Pelodiscus sinensis: one gene and its partner. The protein of the gene in region 1 purifies or fractionates together with the protein of each later gene. This does not show direct contact. Links are inferred from orthologs where the notes say so. Each region holds a gene or a part of one and is shown on either strand. Other genes may lie near its edges.

Region 1 (10,538 bases):
CAACTTCCCTTACCTCTCGTGAAATGAGGGTTACAGGAGTCGAGTAAGAAGTCCTCCATCTCAACATTATTTTGAAATAACGGCTTACTGTAGATGCATACTACTATGCAACCCTGATTCAAACCCAGGGCACATCTCCCCTGGCAGCATGGAGCCCCCCTGAAATCACTGAAGCTGTTCACTGCAGAACCAAAGCCACAGAATGTCCTGAGGTAACAGTCTTTTTCCCCCTATAGAGTACAGGATTCCAGTTTAAAGGAGGCGAGGTCCCAAAGCAAATCCATGTGGGCGAAGGTGGGCTGTGATACGATAGTAAAAAACCTGAAAAATGTTTGTCAGAGCACTCACATTTTGAATCATGACATAAATTGAAAGATGACTGCCCAAGCCTTCTATGCAGCACTACATCTACACCCTTCTTAGCTTCTTGTTATAGTTTTACACAACTTTGTTAGTGAACTTCTCAAATGCAGTATGTTCATCTTTTGTGACTTCTCATATGTCTGGTACTTCTAGTCCTTCACCTGATGTTCATTGATTCATTCACACAATCAGCTAAAGGCAACTGCTTTTAGAACAAAAATTATACTTGATGACCCCCCAAAAAGTTCAAGTGTAGCTGTTGGAAGCAGTGAGAGATGAATTCCTACTTCTGTCATCCCAGGAAACATCACAAAGAGCAGGTCAAGCTGTTAGTGATGATAAAACAAAGGAAGCAGAAGTCAAATCTTTATTTGTTATATGATATTCCACTCTGTATTCAAATTCCCTGTCCTGATCACATAATAGCTCTACTGCTGGTAATGCTTCACTCCACGCAACTGGAGGTGTTTTATAAAACAGGTATATGTAACAGCTACATAGAGGTTCATTAGACTCCAGAAGTCACTGCTAATGATTATTTCAAATCAAGTCTGTGTACATTTTCAGCTGGCTTTAAAACAATGTTTCTTGTCCCCTTCACTTAAGGATTCAAGTGTCTTCAGTCCAGACCTAATGAAGTCTTTGATTCTTCCCATTTGTTTTCAATGGATATTCCTCCGATTATCCAGCAACAAAACCTGCACTTGCATAAAAAAAAAATCTACTACTGTTGAGCATAAGCATAAGCTCTTTTCCATGAGATACACCAGTCTTTTGTAACTTCAAGAAATGGGAAAATTTTGACATGCAGTAACCAGGAACTATAGTTAGGTTGTAGAGACACTTTTTCTTCAGATGTAACTGTGCTGTGGGCTGTTTAGATGTATATATACCACTTGAAACTTGATGTGACATGTACGCATATTCTTGCTTCTTAGTATGTTTTTCATCTTGATTATTTTTTAGGCTTTTGAGTAGAAAAATTGTTTAGCTTTTTTAAGCGTTTTATCTTCACTTTGACCTGAAACACACAGAATATAAATAAAATGTAAGTTTTATTAGGATAATGCAAATTGAACATAACAATACAAATTTCACTAAAACATAATAGTTTTTAGATTTCTAAGCTATATCATAACTGTATTTAATGTAAATGACTTTTGAAATAATTTATAGTGTAAAAATAAAAATGTTTAATACAGAAACTCCTCAAGATAATGACTTCTTGAGATAACAATGGTGCATTTTAAAAATCTTTGTCCCCTGGGAAACACATTTATACAAGTTTCCCTGCCAGAAATCTAACATTCTGGAGCAAAGTCACTAAAATATAGTTCAACAAACAAATGTTCCTTTAACATTCCCCTTCCCACTCATAATCCTTGGTCAGTGGGGACCCAGAGTTCAAAGGTATTTTTGCCTGAGTTCATCTTCCACCTTGGAGAATCAGGGTTGAAGAGAAGGGTAGAAGACACTTTGGTTCATTGTTCCAACTGCTGCTCAATGTTCCTTCTCATTTTTTTCTTCCATGTACTGATTACATTTTATTATGTGCACCAAGGCATATGCATATGTGCACCATCAGTAGTAATCCATGCTGCTAGCTGTGGGTGCTCTGCTAGTCAATTGGGCAGCAGTAGAATCTCTCCTGGGTAGCCACTCAAAGGCTCAGCTTACAGGGAACTTACTGCTGTTGTTCATTGTGCCACTGTTCCATCATCTACTTAATTGTCAATGGCTCTGCACCAGAATTCCCTCTAACATTTTCTTTCCTTGGGCAGCTTGAATTTTCTTATGTACAACACCAATATTGAGGTAGTGTATGGATGTGCACCACCATTACAAACAAAACACATACATTACAAATATATATATTTTAAGCAGTCCATATGTATGGAAGAAAGATATATTAAAACAAGACACCTGTGTCTAGTTGCTGTAAGGTACCCTTAATGACTACAAAGGTTCTGTACAAAGGTAGGAAATTAACACATGGCTTCAGAGTTTGTAGACAGATGCATGTTTCAAAAAGCTTGCAAATAAGGTTTCATTCTACAAAACTAGCATCACACCTAGTACTTTTTATTTCTGATTCATAAGAGTCAAAACTCTACCACATAGCAAAGATCTGACCTTAATGCAATACAATCTACCATGTATTAATTAGTAAGCAATACAATCTACCATGTATTAATTAGTAAGCAATACAATCTACCATGTATTAATTAATGCAATACAATCTACCATGTATTAATTAGTAACACAGGATTTTAAAAAAACATTAAGATCCGAATTTTAGATAGATGCAACACTCCAAAAAAAGTGTTAAAAATCTCTTTCTTACCTTGAGCCATTAACACCTCTGTAAACTTTGTTTGAAATGTAATCATGAAAATGTTCTCCTGGCACACAACCCCTGCCATGTAGCCTGCTTTCCCCCACTCCCTCCAACCCAGCCAGAAAGGACTGCTGCAAGTAAATCAGGACACCCTAACAAACTGCCCCCTACCTCCATCTACCTGCACAGATGCCAGCACCCACCAGCCTCTCTTCCCCCACCTACCCCATGCAGTCATTCCCTTACCTCCCCCTTCCCAGCCCAGGAGGATTGAACAGAGTGCTGGGTTTCTGCCTTTGTCTTCCTTTCTCTCTCTTTCTTTCCCTCCTGGGGCAGACAGGACTCTCAAAACTCCCGCTCCCCCAAGCAAATTAATTAATTATTCCCTCCCCCAAGACAGGTGTGTCCTGCTTATCTGCTCTGGGAGTTCTTCTGTTCAGCATGCAGCAGCTCTGTTTAGCTGCTGCTTAGAGACACCCCACTACCCCCCTGCCAGTCAGCTGATCTCCCTGCCTGTGCAGGAGCTGTGAACCTCTGAGGGGGCTCAGAAAATAGCTGTGCAGTCATGCAGCTTAGAGGGAACTTAGCCTTGCACTATTACCTTCTGCTGCCACATGCCTCGCTCCTGTGACCTCTGTGAGTTGGGCATGTCTTCACTACCTACTGGATCGATGGGCAGCAATCAATCCAGCGAGAGTCAATTTATTGTGTCTAGTATAGATGTGATAAATCGACCAATGAGCATTTTCCTGTCAAATCTGGTACTCTACCAAAATGAGAAGAGTAGGCAGAGTTGATAAGAGAGTGTCAGCTGTCATCTTACCGCAGTAAACAGATCTAAGTACATTGATTTCAGCTATATTATTCACATAGCTGAAGTTGTGTCACTTGGGTCGATGGCCTGCAGTAGTATACACAAGACATTGGTCTCTTGCGGTACCAGCCAGCTCTCAACGATTTCAGCTCAGAGTGGGAAAACCTCCCTGCTAGTGCAGTCTAGGCAGAGTCTTCCACAGAAACATTATTTCATGGAAGGTCTAAGCACTTATATCTGTTTATCAGCTCTAGTGTCCCTTAACAAAACAAAAGCTTCTCAATGGAGCCCAATCAACTCTATCTTTAAACAGAAGAGAGGCAGATCAAATGATACCTATGACTCTTAGGCAGGGCCCATACTACTAGCCAAAACAACAGTCCTCACTCTCCACTGGAATCTGGCATCTGAACTCTTTACTTGGTGATTTCAAAAACAAAGACCCCTATGGCACCTTAGATACTATCTGATTTATTAGGGCATAAGCTATCATGGGTAAAACTCACTTCATCAGATGAACTAGAGTGGAAATTACAGAAGCAGAAGTTGAGACTGGCCCCTTAATCAGGGCAGGCTAAGTACAAATTTTCTGCCCTTTACTCATACAATAGGGATAACAACATTTCATTATCCCTACCTTCAATTTAATTTTTTTATTAAAGTTAACATTAAAATGATCTAATATACAGACAAGAAAAGCTTTTTATACATATGGGTACAATACTTAAATTATCCAAAAGTATAAAATTTGGTTTGAAAAGTCTTAAAGTAAATAAAGTACATGATCTGCAACATCCCAAGTTAAAGTTAATTTAATATTACAGTTTAAATACTATCATCCAAATATTTGGCTATATCACACATAAAAAGTTAAATGAAGTGCAGCTTGTGGAAAGCAAAAGGTAATTTGTAACCTAACAACAGCCAAAATTGATTATGTGGGCAACACAACTAGTCTGCTGGATACATAGGCAAAGTAGGTGCATTTATGTAAATACAGTCAGGTCCTGAAGATCAGTGGAGAGCTCATTAAGACCTCAATTTCAAACTGTTATCTACATAAGACTGGCCATACTGGGTCAGATCAAAACTCCAACTAGCCTAGTATCCTGTCTGCCAACAGTGGCCAATGTCAGATGCCCCAGAGGGAAAGAACACAACAGGCAATCATCTCGTGATCCCTCTCCTGTCATCCATTTCCAGATGAACAGAGGCAAGGGACACCATTCCTACCCATCCTGGCGAATAGATTCATGGAGGATAGACCCGTCCATGACTATCTAGCTCTTTTTTGACCTTGCAATTCTTTTTGAATTTGTAAGCATTAGGTCAGCCAACATTGCCGAAATGAATGTGCCAACACAGTCATAACTCACACAGTTGTGTGAGGAAGCTAGTCCTTCATACTATCCAAACCTATGAGGGTTATCGAACTCTTGCTACACCGGTTATGACCACCACACAGAAGCAGGGCTCATGTACCAACAGCACCTTCCTACGACCAATAAGAATCAGTCACTGCATCGAGAAGGCCGCCAGAGCCATGAGCAAAGGCTGAGAACATGCTGAAGGATGCTGGGCGTTGTTTCCAAGCTCCCACTCCCCTTCACTACAGTCAGGCCCATGTACAGCCCAGCGGCTGCCCCAATCTCAGTGCCCCACAGGCAGCGCTGCCACAAAGCAACTGTCACCGGCCCACATCATTCCCGGAGGAGGCGGGATTAGGGCAGCAGTCAGGGCTACAGAGCCCCTGCCCTGAGCAGACACATGGCCGAGCCAGGAAATGGCTGGATGCCCCCATGCTGAGAGCAGACCTCAGCTGCCCCTCACACTCTCACCTGACCCTTTCCACACTGCTGTATAGTAGAGGGTGGAGCGGCACTCCCTTACATTGTGAGTGGTTAACTTAACTGTCAATCAAATTAATGCCTGACTTGCAAAGCCTGTCACCTGCCCTATTATGGTGGGGAGGGGGTAAAAGGAGAGAGGCAGGTATCTCCCTTACTGTGAGTGAAAAACAGGACTATGTAGCACTTATAGACTAACAAGATGGTTTATTAGGTGATGAGCTTTTGTGGGCCAGACCCATTTCCTCAGATCAAATTGTGGAAGAAAATAGGCATGACCATATATACCCGTGGTCCCCAATGCGGTGCCCGCAAGCACCATGGCGCCCACCGACCCATTTCTGTGCACCTGTCAAATGATCGGGGCCGAACCCGCCCCCAGGCGCTCAGCACATGGTCAGTGCCGGCCCTGGGCGCGCGGCGGTTAGGCGGCCCCACCCCCGGGGGCGCGGGAGAGGTCAGTGCTGGCCCCGGCCCTGGGCGTTTGGCGCATGGGTGGCACCAGCTCCAGGCATGCAGCATATGGGCGGCCCCGCCCCCGCGTGCCCGGCATGTGAGCAGCCCCGGCCCTGGGCGCCCGGCAGCCCCAAAAGGTTGGGGACACTGAACGGGCTACAGTCACAAAAAGTGAGCACGTATGAAAAGGGCCTTTTCTGCTCATGCCAATTCTCTTCCACTAGTTGATCTGAGGAAGCGGGTCTGGCCCACGCAAGCTCATCGCCTAATGAACCATCTTGCCAGTCTCTAAAGCAGGGGTCCCCAACCTGTGGTGGTGGCCGGGCGCCAGGGGGCGGGGACGGGGCCCCCCATAGCCGCGCGCCCCCCCCCCATAGCTGCGCCCGGGGCCGGCGCCCCCCGCCCCAAGCGCCACGCGCCCGGGGCCAGGCCAGCCCCGAACACGTGGCGGGCGCACACGAATGCCCCCGCCCGCGGGCACCGTGTTGGGACCACGGCTCTAAGGTGCTGCATGGGCCTCTCTTTTGTTTCCGCTACACCAGCCTAACTCGGCTGCATCTCTATCGCTACTGTGAGTGGTCACATCAGCTGTCATTTATGAGACAATCCCATTTCCTGCTGCAGAGACCCCGCCCAGGCGGTAGTGACTGGCTGTGCGGAGATCCCTCACAGTTTAAACGGCCACGTCGGGTGTCATTCAAAGAAAAGCACCGCCTCCTTCTCAGGGGCGGGCTGTAAGTTCCGGGGCAGTGGCGTACTGCGAAGAGGTGAAAGGGGACCACTATGAGTGGTCGGATTTCCTGTCACTCAGAGAAAAACCCCGCCCCTCATCCCACGGAACGACCGGACGGGCGCTCTGTGAGTGGCTGGCGGGGCTGTCAGTCAGCAGATCCAAGGGGCGGGATTTGTGGCCTGGGTGTGGGAGGCCGGCGGCGCTCGGCTCAGTCTCCCAGCTGCGGCGGTGCGGGATGGGGCGGGCCGGGATGCTGCTCGGGGCCCTGGCGGCGTTCCTGGCTGGTAGGGGGCAGAGCGCGGGGCCCAGGGCCGTTGGCGCGGCACGCGGGGCGGTAGCGCTGGGGAACAGCGGGAGGCGGGTTCGGGGCCCGGCGCTGCCGGTTCTTGTGCCCCGCTGGCTGCGGCGCCGCCCCCGTGACTCCCCTCGGAGCCGGCGGCGGCTCTTCCCGGGGCGAGCCGGGCGGCTCCTCGCGCGTGACCCGGCCGCGGGTGCCTGCAGCCGAGCCTGGCGGTGCCGCCGAGCGCGCTCGGGCAGCCGCATCGGCACCCCGGCCCTGGGGGTTCTCGCGGTCCCCAGGTGCTTCGTGCCTCGCCCGCGTTAGGAATTGATGCCCGAGCTATGCCCAGCCCTTCTCTACAGCCGCGGTTGGGAGCCGTCCCCGCGCTCCTCGGAGGTGCTGCGCTTGGGCTTTCCAAGGGACTTGGCTCAAAAAGTGCCCTCGGTATGGGACACGGACCGTCTCTCTTCACACAGCTGCCCTTGAGGGCCGCAAGTTGAGACGTCAGTGTTATAGGCGTGACCCCAAGTGTTAATGCTAGAAATTTCTGGCCTAGCGAAGAGTTTCCTCTTAACCCAGAAAGTGACTCTTTGTGATTACATTACCCCTTGGATGTTCAGATAGAAATATGCTTGATGACTTGCAACCCACAGCTGTGTTGCAGGTTTAACTGACTGCTTAGCTCAATGAGTCATTTTGGTCAAATGATTATAGCATAGCTGGAAAAACGGTTGGATCCCGAAATGCAGTTTTTGTTTCACTGTGACCTTGAACAAGTTACTTAACTAATTTGTGCCTGACAACCTGGCAAGGAAAATAGAGCTTTTTCTTTTTAAAAAAAATCCAATGTCACATAGCATATCTAAGCCAAATTGCACAAAGTAAATTGTGTGAATGTCTGGTAGCTTGAAAAGTAGAGATGTGACTGGGTAACAGTAAGCTGGTTCCCAGGAGCAGCCCCTTTTCCCCTCCAGCCTCCCTGAAACCTGCTGCCGCTGGAAGGCTGCTCTAACCCCAGCACAGCCAGCGTGTTGTGGCTGGGGCCAGGAGTCAGTGCTTAGTTAGTTAACCTAATGTTTAATCAATTAGCTGATTGATCAAGATTTTACATGCCTATTGTAAAGTAGTAAATAAACATATTTAAGTCAACAGGCTACCAATATTATTATTGTTAACCTGACTATAGTTTGCCCCATCTCATTGACCCAGGAAAATAGTCCCTAGGAAGGAGGGTTGCTACTCAACTAAAACTGCAGCTGCTCAGCAAGATGAGCTGCTATCAATAAAAAAATGCATTTGACAAATGTCTGTAGATTGACCTGTTCCTTTGTTCTTCTGCCTGTGTCATTGTTTTGAAGGCAACAATGTGAAATTTTTGTTTGAATTAGGTGCACATCCTTGAATCACACTGTTCTGTTGGTGTATATATCATAATATGGCATGTATTTACTGTCAACACTCACATAGAATTTGATTCTGAACTAGGTTTTGGAGCATACCCTCCCCCTACCCACAAGGTCAAAATGGTATACCTAATTGAATAATTTAGCAATAGAGTCTCTTTTATGCATTTGTGTCTTCACTTTGTTTGATACCTTAATTTATCTATACACAACTCTATACTGGAATTTTCCATGGTGTCCTGATACCTGAAATTAATGACTCTCTTTAGCTGTCTCTCTTAACTTGGTAGATATGTGCATTGGAAGGCTGAAAATCAGAAAGAGTTTGTTACAATTCATGTCTGCTCACAAGGTTTTAAGAAACACATGCTTTACTCACGCATCTGACAAAGTAGGTCTTTGCCCATAAAAGCTTATGGCCAAATAAATCTGTTTAATCTTTAAAGTGCCACAGGACTCCTTATTGTTTTTGCAGGAACAGACTAACATTGCTGTCCTTCTGATACATGCTTTACCAGACTTGCCTGTCTATTATTTCTCTTTTTAGGTGTTTCCGGTGATGAATTTAGTGTCTTACGATCACCACAATCTGTCATTTTCCGAGATGGAAGTTGGCCAATACCAGGGGAGCGGATCCCAGACATAGCAGCATTATCCATGGGCTTTTCTGTTGAAGAAGTATGTTTATTTTTATTTTGAAAAAGCTGTAAAATTCACATTAGTTGGTTTGGAGAGCTTTGAATTATAGTTGTGCACAGATTTTTTTTTTTAAATGTGGTAGAAATAAAGTAGGAACTAGTAAGACGGACTAAGAGGAAATTCAGAAACCTCGGGAATCTAACTCGTGGTCTCCCTCTTCTCCAACGAAACTGTTATTAACGGCCTAACTGCAATATAAATGTTTAACAATAAAATGTCTACTGGGCCATTTGTGTTCTGTCTTTTGGACTATGAAAACACCCTGTTGACACTTGCTATCTTGAAATTAAGAGCAGAACTTATATAGAATAGTTCTGGTAATTTAATCCATTACACTGATTAGGGTTGATCATGTACTCTGCGTGCTGAATGTCTGCTTGAGGCACAAGGTAAAATCAAATGCTCTTTGGCAAAAGAGGCATCTTGATTTTTCACACGCTGCTCTTCCTGGGGTATCTGGGATATGAAATGGGAAAATGTATACTCTTTGTGGCAGTCTGTTCTTTCTTCTAAGGTTGGTATTCCCCCCCCCCCCCCCCTTAACTGTGAGGTCCCTTGGATCCACCCAAAATTGGCTGCCCCTTGTTTCCCTTCCTACAAAGAACAGAATGTCAAGAATGGGGAAGGAGAACTCTCCAAATCCTCTTCTCAGAAAAACAAATACACGGAGTGAAAGTAGATATCAATATAGTAATTAGGCCTTTGATCGATCTATCTTGAATGTCAGAATCATTAACCTTTTATTGTTTATAGTTGTATCAGAAACATCATGGCAATGTATTTTCCTTTGTGACTAGATATTATTCAATCACAAACATGTATTTGAGTAAAAATATTCCTCCAGCAAGGTGCATTCTAGAGAAGCCTACAGAGTTCTTCAAATCATGGGAAGTTGCTTTTAATATCACTACTGTAGTAAATGGACTTGTTCAGTGAATCTTGTGGAATTTAACAGTTTTGGCTGTGAAATCTGATTTAGTAGCTACAAAGCAGTTAAGTCAACATTGCACAGTATGTGAACGGCGCTTTTTCTTACAGTAAAGTTGTGGAGGGCTTTCTCATACGGAATTAATGAAGAAACATCCTGGGGGGGACCACAATTTTTTGTGGGGTGAAGAATCGTTTCAAATGTTTAGATTCCCTACTAAGTTTCCAGTGGGTTTTCCAATCAAGAGTCATATACCACTGCAGATTCTCTGCATTAATCTTTTGATATTGTTTGAGCTGTTTCTTTTTCCTTTGATTTAAAAGCTAAACAAAAGTTTTTGCTTTAAAATTTGTTTCCAGGATCTTTCCTGGCCTGGGCTTGCAGTGGGTGATATATTCCATCGTCCTCGCGCTACTGTTCTTGTGACTGTAAAGGGAGTAGACAAGCTGGTGATGCCTAAAGATGGAGTTTCTTATCCTGTTGAGAATGTAAGTATCTGCAGTTTTTTTATTTTTATCCCTCTGTTGTTTATACTTCTGTTCATATTGAAAGTATTCCTTGGTGTTCAAAAAACCCTCCAAAAACTAACTTTTCACCAGTTACGCTTTTTATGTCAGTCACATAGCTTTTCATGGATTCAGAGAATTAAGACCAGGAGGGACCATTAGATTGAATCT
Region 2 (9,816 bases), about 150 Mb from region 1:
GTCTGAATCGGCTGCAGGTTTTTAATAACATTATAGACACGCTAGTAGGCTCTCATTCTTAACACAGGTGACAAACCGAGTGTGCTACAATCATGTCACCAACACCTAATTTCAGCCAGCAAATCCCAAAATCACTTTATTCTGGGTATAACTGGTGATGCTGACTGTACAAAAGGATTATGATTTTCTCTACTGATTCTAGGCTAGGTGACTCAAATATTTTCTCCGTCACAAGAGTTACTTTTGCTGCCAAATCAAGGTATTCTTATCCGGGTATCTTGAACTTTAATCTGAAAAAACGATCTTCTGGCAGGACTGTTCAGGATAAAGTCTTCTGGACAGAGGTTCCCTGAACTCCATATTAAGAGTAGATAATTCAGAATCAAAGGATTTTCCTGACACAAAACCCTCCTGCTAGCAGAATGACTTTTCATTCTAAATTACAAGAGGGTTGCTTTCATAGGTCAAATATTTTACTTCAGCCTGACAAATACTAAGGATCCAACCTAATGTGTTACTGGGTCCTAGTCAGCTAGCTGGAGGAAGTGGCTCCCATGTGGCGGCCAGGAAACTGGGACCTTCTTGTGCTTCCCGTCTTGCACTCCTTGTAATAAGGCCATAAATTGTTCTAGCTTGGTGTCAATCACCTACACCCTTGATCTTGGCCTGTTTATTTTGTCTTTTCAGAGTCCTACCATCTACAGTCTAAACTTTCTGTGGCTATGTTGGGCACACAAACCCTATTGGCTAAGACTCCCCTCCACCCCCACTCCCACCCAAGCCTTGACCCCCACATTTTATGGAGAATGGCTTCTTGTTGGAGATTAGGTCTCTGCCTTCAGCTGTAGCTCAGCTCTCCCAGGGTCCAGAGCATAACACTTAGAGATGTTAGTATGTAATTGAATAGTCATGTAATTGCATGCAATTTTAGCAGTTACACGACTATTCACTAGTCCCTGGGGGTGGAGCAGGCAGCCAGTGTACTTCCCACCCCACTTCCAGGGAGCTCCCTGCCACTCCCTGCTACTGACTCGCTATCAGAGGCAGTGTGGGATTGCAGGTGGGAACTGGTCCCCTAGTCTTCCAGAAAGTCTTTGACAAGGTCCCTAACCAAAGGCTTGTAAGCAAAGTAATCTGTCATGGGATGAGAGGAGAGGTCATCTCATGAGTTCATATCTGGTTAAAGGATAGGAAATAAAGGGTAGAAACAAGTGGTCAGTTTTCAGAATGGAGAGCGATAACTAGCAGTGTCCTGCAGGGGTCCATACTGGGACCAATCCTATTCAACATATTCATAAATGATCTGAAGAATAGGATAAAGAGTGAGGTGGCAACATTTGCAGATGATACTAAACTGCTCAAGACAGTTAACTCCAAAGGAGACTGTGAAGCTCTTCAAAAAGATCACACAATAGTAGGTGACTGGACAAGAAAATTGCTGATGAATTTTAATGTTGATAATGCAAAGTAATGCATATTGGAAAACATAATTGCAACTATATGTATAAAATGACTAATTTAGTTGTTACCACTCAAGAGAGAGATCTTGGAGTCATTGTAATTTTCTGAAAATATCAACTTAATGTGCAGCTGCAGTCAAAAAAGCAAACAGAATGTTAGGAATAATTTAAAAAGGGTTATAAAATAAGACAGAGAATATTTTATTGTCTCTATATAAATCCATGATATGTCCATATCTTGAATATTGCATGCAGATGTAGTTACCTCATCTCAGAAAAGATATCTTGGCACTGTAAAAAGTTCAGAAAAGGGGAAAAATGTGGACGTAATTGCCAGAGGAGGTTGTGAAGGCCAGGAATTTAACAGGGTTAATAAAGAACATGATGAACTCGTGGAAGGTAGGTCCAGAAATGGCTATTAACTAGGATGGGCAGAAATGTTGCCCCTACCCTCTGTTTGTCAGAAGCTGGGAATGGGTGGATCACTTGATGATTACCTGTTCTGTGCATTTCCTTTGGGGCATCTGGCATTAGCCATTGTCACGAGACAGGACACTAGAGTAGAAGGTCCTTTGGTCAGACTCACTATGTCAATTATTGTGTACTTACGTTCTTATGTGTGTATAACTAGACAGAAGGGCATATCAACAGGGTCCTACAAGGATCAGTTCTGATGCTGGTCAATATCTTCATCAATGGTTTAGAAAATGACATAGAGAATTAATTTATAGATGATGCCAAATTGGCTCATACCTGCTATCCCAGGTTGGATTAAAATATAAATGATCTGGACAAACTGGAGAAATGGTCTCAAGTAAATAGGATGAAATTTAATAAGGACAAAAGCAAAGTACTCAATTGAGGAAGAAACAATGAATTGCACACATTCAAAATGGGAAATGACTGCCTCGGACAGAATATTGCAGAAAGAGATCTGGAGGTCACAGTGGATCACAAGTTAAGTATGAGTCAACAGTGTAACGCTGTTGCAAAAAATGCCAATATAATTCTGTGATATATTAGCAGGAATGTTGTAAGCAAGAGACTAGAAGAAATTCTTCATCTCTACTCTGCACTGATATGGCCTCAACTGTGTCCAATTCTGGGTGCCATATTTCAGGACAAATGTGGATAAATTTGAGAAAGTCCATAGAAAAACAACCAAAATTATTAAAGGAATGTAAAATATGACTGTAAAAAAAAACTGAAAAAATTGGATTTGTTTAGACTGGAGAAGAGAAGACTGCAATGGGATATTATATCAGTTTAGAAGTACATAAAAAGTTGTTGCAAGGAGGAGGAAGAAAAATTGTTCTCTTTAACCTCTAAGGATAGTAAAAGAAGCATTTGATTTAAATTGCAGCAAGGACGGTTTAAGTGGACATTAGGAAAAATTCCTGTTGATTAAACAAAGACTGTGAATGGCTTGCTAACTACAAAAGCAGCTTCTGCTCTCTTGGAATTCACACCTCCAGATCAGCTACTAGAAGTGGGCCTCATCCTCCTTGATTGGATCCATCTCGTCATCTCCAGCGTGATCCTGGCCTGCATATTTATACCTGCCTCTGGAAATTTCCACTACATGCATCTGATGAAGTGGGTCTTTGCCCACAAAAGCTTATGCTCTTACACTTCAGTTAGTCTATAAGGTGCCACAGGACTCCTCGTCGCTTTTGCAGTTTCAGACTAACACGGCTACCCCTCTGATACTTTTGTTACAAAGTATCTTTTATTTTAAAAAATTATAAGTAACCCCAATGCACCCACCTCTCCCCCCAGAGCCAGCCCCTCATCAGCGTCCCCCCATCCCAATGCACTCACGCCTCCCACAGAGTCAGCCCCCCATCCCAAAGCACTCACCCCTCCCCCTGAGCCAGCCCTCCCAGTATCCCCCATCCCAATGCACTCACCCCTCCCCAGAGCCAGCCCCCCCCAGTGTCCCATCCCAAAGCACTCACCCCTCCCCCTGAGCCAGACCTCCCAGTGCCCCCATCTGAATGCACTCACCCCTTCCCCTGAATGAGCCCCTGCCCCTCAGTGCTGGGTGCACCCCTCCCCCCATCAAATCCTTCCCCCAGCCACCTCAGAGCCAGGCACAGGAGGAACGGAACAGCTGGGTAAGGGAATCTAACCTTTAAAGTGGCCGCTGCTGTCACCCGGCCCTTCTGCCTCAGCTCACAGACTGTAGAGAGCCTGAAGCACTTAGCCAACTCTCAGTCTCTGTTCAAAAGCATCATGTGGGCCAGAACAGCTGTGCGCTTCACTCCCAGCCCAGCGCCCCCTAATGTAGCACCAGGGGGCAACTGCCCTCCCCCAACCTTCTTCGCTACGCCTCTGGCGGATGGGAACACTTGCTCTCATCGGCCTCCTGCTGTGTGAACGGTGTGGAAATATGATTTAAAATACATCAACTCCAGCTATGTAGTTAACATAGCTGGAATTGAGTATCCTAATTTGAACTCCCACTATAATGTAGACCAGGCCTAAGTGGAAGTAAAAGTGAAAGAAATAACACTCACAATTTGATATTTCCAAGAGTGGTGACTAGCAGTCTTCTTCCATGCTTCAGGAAGCAGATTTTCCACAGGGAAAAGGGAAGATAGTTTGCTCTTTCTGTGACACCTGAAAGCTTTCTTGAAGGTAAAATGGAAATGTGAAGCTTTTTATCTTGCAGCTTTACCAAAACTCTTATGTGAATTCTCTGGTCTAGACTTCAGGTTCTGGCTTGCTGAAATAGTATGTTTCACTGAACTTCCCTAATTCTTTCAACAGGAAACTCCACCTCACTTTTTCAGCCTGTGAGAAAGGAACTTCCTTTTCCCTTTTTCAGCTTGTTAACTCTTTAAGAACCTTTTTATCTTAGACAGATGGGACACAAATATGCTATTCAAAAATGCCTCTACACTTTTTAAAAATATTTCTCTTCAAGTGACTAACATGGGCTTCTTGCCTGGTTTGCCAAATTTGAAATAACAAAAGGGCTTCCTAAACCTGAGTCAAATGATTTGTTAATGCTTCATCAAAGTCCCTTTAATTAAGAGTATTTTTACTTCATCATCATTTGAGAAAAACAATTTGTGTATTTGTATGGCCTTTAAAAGCATAAACATCAAAGACCAATCACATATATAGTAGCCCAGTGTCTGTGAGTCTGTAACACTGACGTACACGGCCATGCCCTATGTGTGTCAGCGCCCCGCCCCCCTTCCCCTCCTGCCAGGGTGCTCTGCTGAGTGCTGCCCTGCTCAGCTGGGCCCCAGCGGGGGAGCAAACGGTGGCAAGCACCGCTCCAGCTGGGCCCTGGTGGGAGGGGAAGGGGGGTGGGGCACTGATGTACACGGCCAGGGGGTGTGGCTGTGAATGTCACCACCCCGCCCCCCCTTCCCCTCCCGCAGTGGCACTCAGCTGGGCCGCTGCAGGGAACGTTTGGGCGGGAGGGGAAGGGGGGCGGGGCAGTGATGTACACGGCTCCGCTCCCTGGCCATGTTCATCAGTGCCCCGCCCCCTTCTCCTCTCCCTCCCCAGTGGCCCACTTCATTGGTGGGGGGGACCAGCCAAGAAGGGAGCAGTGCTGGCCGGGAAGGGGGGAGGCAACAGATGGGGGGGCCAACGGGAAGCAGGGCTGGTTGTGGGGGAGAGTCGGGCAGAACAGGGCTGGCCGTGGAATATCAGAGGGTGGGGGAGACCAGCCAGGAGGGGCCAGGGCTGGCCAAGAGTAAGGGGGGGTGGGAAGCACAGCTGAGGAGGATGGGGGCCACGAGGGTAGCTGGAAGAAAGGGTGGGGGTGGGAAGCAGAGCTGGCGGTGGGCGGGTGCAGTGGCGCTGGCCGGGGAAATCAGGAAGAGGAACGGGCCAGCAGGAAACAGAGCTGGGGGAGGCGATCGGGGGCCGGGAGGGTGGTCGGGAGGAAGGGGGAGTGGGAAGCACAGCTGCCAGAGGTGGGGAGAGGTGCAGCGGTGCTGGCGGGGAGATCAGGAAGAGGAACAGGCCGGTGGGAAGCAGAGCTGGGGGGTAGCTGCAGGGGGGCTGGCCAGGGAAGATCAGGAGGGGAAGTGGGGGAGAACCGGCCGGCTGGGAAGTGGGGGTTGAGCAAATTGGCAGGCGGGGAGAGGGACTGACCTGGGCACTTGCTGCCTGTCCCGCGCAGGGTCCGGGAAAGGCACGAGCGAGGAGGAGGCTTCCCCTCCTCCTCACACTCAACCGACTAAGGGCTCCCAGAGGCAATTGCGGTCCTGTCTTCCAGCTGGGACTCCCAGCCGCTCCCTCTGTCCATGCCAGGCAGAAGAGAGAGTTACTCACCTTGTATAGTACCTGAGGGTACATCTACACTAGCTCATTAGTTCGAGGTAGGTAGGGTAATGAGGGCAAGCGGAGTTGCAAATGAAGCTCGGGATTTAAATATCCCAGGTTCATTTGCATGTTCCCGGGCACCACCATTTTTAAATCCCCCTTAGTCCGAACTCCGTGCCCGCGGCTACACACGGCATGGACTAGGTAGTTCGAATTAAAGATCCTAATTTGAACTACCGTTACTCCTCATTCCACAAGGAGTAACGGTAGTTCAAATTAGGATCTTTAATTTGAACTACCTAGTCCGTGCTGCGTGTAGCTGTGGGCACGGAGTTCGAACTAAGGGGGATTTAAAAATGGCGGCGCCCGGGAACATGCAAATGAAGCCCGGGATATTTAAATTCCGGGCTTCATTTGCAACTCCGCTTGCCCTCATTACCCTATCTACCTCGAACTAACGAGCTAGTGTAGCCGTACCCTAAGGTTCTTTAAGATGGTTGTCTGTGTGGATGTTGCACCTTAGGTGTCTGGCGTGCCTCTGTACCTTTAGATGGAGAATTTAAGTAGCAGTGCCCTTGGAAGGCTGTTCATGCAGGGCAGCCAGCATGTACTAGTGCAGCTACTCTGCATGCGCAGCCAACTGTCCCTTCAGTTCCCTGTCTGCCACAGAAATTGGTGACTGTGCAGCAGAGGGGAAGAAGGGCAAGTGATGGAGCACCCACAAAGACAACTGTAAGGGGACTGTTACCCCTTACTAAAACTCTGTGGGAGTTTTTGGTTTACCAGCTTCAGAAGGGGAAGGGTTCATGAGACTGACAGACCCCAGAGACAATGGAAAGCAGTCAACACTCCAGCTCAGCCTGACTGACAGGTTGTAAGTGGGGATTGTTCTGGCTCTGTCTCTGAACAAACAAGCTGTGTGCAGAAGAGGTCCTGCAAAGACAGAGAGCTGAAAGAGGAGTACAAGAAGAAGTCCTGCAGTGACAGAACCAGACACAGACAGGCCAAGCAGTGCAGACCCTGTGTTGAGCAGCAGACTGGCAGTGCTCAGAAAGCCAAAAGGAACAGAGAAACAACACAAGGAGCTGGAACTGGCCAAGCAGCACAGCCTGCAGCTGGATGTGGTGAGCTACTGGGACCTGCAAAGTGTGGGGAAAGGCTCTGGACTGGGAGAGGGGTCTGGCCACTTAGAGACTGAGGCTGTGTGGTCACTGCCAGTGCAAGCGTGTCCAGCCTGCAGCCCCTTGCAGCACATCCAGGGCTTCTAAGGAAGAGACTGTGAACTGTCCTTACACTCTGCAGACTGCTGTGTTGATGTCCCTGTGCTACAGAGCAGGGCTGTGTGTTCTCATTTAACCATTCTCATTGTTTCTTATTCTATTCTCTTTAATCAGTTGATGTTTAATAAATTGTATTTGCTTTGAACCTTATGAAGTGATCACTGGGCCAAGAAGGCCTGCAGTGTAAAGAGAGCACCTCGGAGTGGGGACACCCTAACTCCAGCCCCTAGTGACTACAAGGTCAGGGATTAAGCCCCAGGAAACCTGGGCCCAGCCTTGTTGGGGTTTCAAGGGCTCTGCTACTCAGGAGAGTGGAGGGGGAGCCCTCAGGATCAGGGAACCGTGGGGTAAAGGAAGTGGGAGCGGGGACTCAGATCCTTTCGCTGCTTCATTTCACCGGGGTGTATAGAAGCCAGGAAAGTTCCCCACAAGAGCGGGACCATTCCCCCGCTTACACAACCATTTTGAAGAATTTCAGTTTTTCTTTGAGGAACGTCCCCGTGGGAGCTTCATCTGATATCACTATGAAGCAGTACTTGTACTCGGAGGAGGGAGCTTCAGTTCATCGCTATCATGTATGGTGGCTAGTATTGTCTGGTTGAAGTGAGTGCTATGTGATAGGTAAGTTTCAAGTGGCAGCTCTACAAATGTCTGTCAGAGATGTTTTGTTCAGGTATGCTGTAGAGGTTGCCATTGCTCTTGTGGAAAGAGCATGTAGCTGTAGCGGAGGGTCCTGCCTGAAGGTACGGTAAGCCACTCTTATACAGTCAGAGCTCCATCTGGACAGCCTCTTTTTGGAAACTGGCATGCCCCTCGATCTTTCCATAATTGATACAAATAATCTTGGTGAGTTGCATATCTGTCTACTTCTATCTAAATAAAATGTGACTGCCTTGTAGACATCCAGTGTGGGTAGAGCAGCCTCTCCGCTACCAATAGTCCCTGACTTACGAATTAGTTACGTACCAAGCATTTGGTTGTAACTCAATCTGTTCGTAAGTAGGACCCCATTCATTTCAATGGGACCACGCTGTTCATAAGCACGGATTGTGTTCGTAACTCGGGGCTGCGCTTAATGGGAGGTTGGTCATAAGGACGAATGGTCATAAATCGATGCATTCGTACCTTGGGCACTACCTGTATCTGCATGGGGTTTCAGGAAGAAGACATGTAAGTAAATGGGTTCATTACAATGGAAGGGAGTTGGGACCTTCATGAGGAATTTGGGATATGGACAGAGAATGACTTTGACAAAGTCATACCAGTGTGCTTGGTACCGAGGTGACTTGTAGTTCCTCGCTGGTCCTGCAGTTGTCGATGCTGGAGATGGTGCCAGTGCTGATGGGGCTTGCTATGCCATTGGTGCTGAGTGCTTGTGTTTCTTCACTGCTAGGGGCAGCATGAAAGTGCTTGGTACTGAGCTGGAGCACAGCTTTTTTGGTGCCCATGAAGATTATTAAGGTATCGGCAGTGCCAACTTAAACTTTGACTTGCTCGGTACCTTAGAGCTGGCCCTAGTAGGGTTCTTAGCCCCTTGGGACATGTCAGTGCCTGATGGTCCTGGTGCCTCTCACTCCAGAGCCTTAGGTTCTGCTGGTACCAAAAGCATTTTTTGAGGTGATGCCCACTTTTTTGAGGGGGAGTCACCTCTGGAAGTTGAATGGGCTGGCTTCTTGGATTGCTGCTCCAATGCAGAGTCCCTGGTGCTTAATCCTTAGGGAGCTGGTTTTTCTGACACTGCCAACAGGGATGGCTGCCTGGGTGGTGTTGAGTGTTCAGGATCAGATGCTGGTCGTATAGTGTTTTCCAATAGGAGCAACTCCACCTGGAGCTCCCTGGCCCTTTCTTGCATGTGCTATGAGCTGCTTACAATGTTCACACTGTAGACAATTGTATCTTGTCTGAAATGGATATGGAAAGCTTGCAGGACAGGCAGCATTTGAAACCTGGGGAACCAGGCATCCCAGGAAGAAAAAACAGAAAAAAGGGGAAAAGGTCCAAACTAATAAAGAAAAAACTTTAAAAAAATTAACTAGAACAGTTAAACAGTCTAACAAACAACAACAACTAACACCACTATCTAACTCTATCTAATAAAATCTGAAAAATATCTGGAGGGCAGCTATCGGGTCTGACTGAAGCTGGTGGTGGCAGAGAAGGAACTGGAGGGATGGTTGGTTGCGCAGGCAAAGTAGCCACAGCAATGTGTGCTGGCTGCCTGCATGTGCAGCCTGCCAAGGGTACTTCTAGCTAAATTCTCTGACTAGAGACACAGTGGCGCTCCAGACACTCAAGGTGGAGCACCCACAGGGAAACTCCTTGAAGAATCTTTACATATATCAGAGCACTTTTAGTGACTGGTGCTTAAGATTTGCTTGGAACATTGTTTAATAGATGTCCAATTGTATCTTGCACTATCAGCTTATATGCATGTGCTATATTGGCCAGAAACACTCCAAAAAACTATGACAAGTCTTTCCTGACAGGCATCTGTGCCTGCGTGTTCTGTTAAAGAAACCTGACAAGGAGAAATTACTCGGGAAAAGAAAAGGAGACAGCTTTTCCGCTTGCTGGGTCTGTAGAACTTTAGAGCCAATCAGGGATTGTGTTCTGGAGAACTACACAATGTCTTTTGGATGAGATACCATCACACTAATGGATGTTGTTTCCCCCAGCCAATTGGCTGGTCTGTGGTATTTCCTTGGGACCAGCTCAGAGAAAAAAGGAGCATCAGCTGTCTGTTGCAATGACCTCAGGAAGAGCATACTTTTCTTCTTTCTTCCCCA

The links. The genes of interacting proteins can lie anywhere in the genome.
Region 2: the proteins of ATP6AP2 (region 1) and ATP6AP1 purify together in Homo sapiens (affinity purification with mass spectrometry; 5 studies listed by BioGRID and IntAct, counting the BioPlex papers as one, with this or other methods). This does not show direct contact. The link is inferred for Pelodiscus sinensis from reciprocal best matches to the Homo sapiens genes ATP6AP2 and ATP6AP1.

What each region holds. Positions count from the first base shown.
Region 1 is NC_134711.1:195,337,594-195,348,131, reverse strand, and holds the start of ATP6AP2 (renin receptor), read left to right. Parts: upstream 1-6,681; 5' UTR 6,682-6,786; coding exon 6,787-6,835; intron 6,836-8,781; coding exon 8,782-8,912; intron 8,913-10,220; coding exon 10,221-10,349; intron 10,350-10,538. UniProt on the Homo sapiens protein: Multifunctional protein which functions as a renin, prorenin cellular receptor and is involved in the assembly of the lysosomal proton-transporting V-type ATPase (V-ATPase) and the acidification of the endo-lysosomal system.
Region 2 is NC_134711.1:40,835,810-40,845,625, reverse strand, and holds the start of ATP6AP1 (V-type proton ATPase subunit S1), read right to left. Parts: upstream 4,242-9,816; 5' UTR 3,980-4,241; intron 3,707-3,979; exon of another isoform or gene 3,593-3,706; intron 1-3,592. UniProt on the Homo sapiens protein: Accessory subunit of the proton-transporting vacuolar (V)-ATPase protein pump, which is required for luminal acidification of secretory vesicles.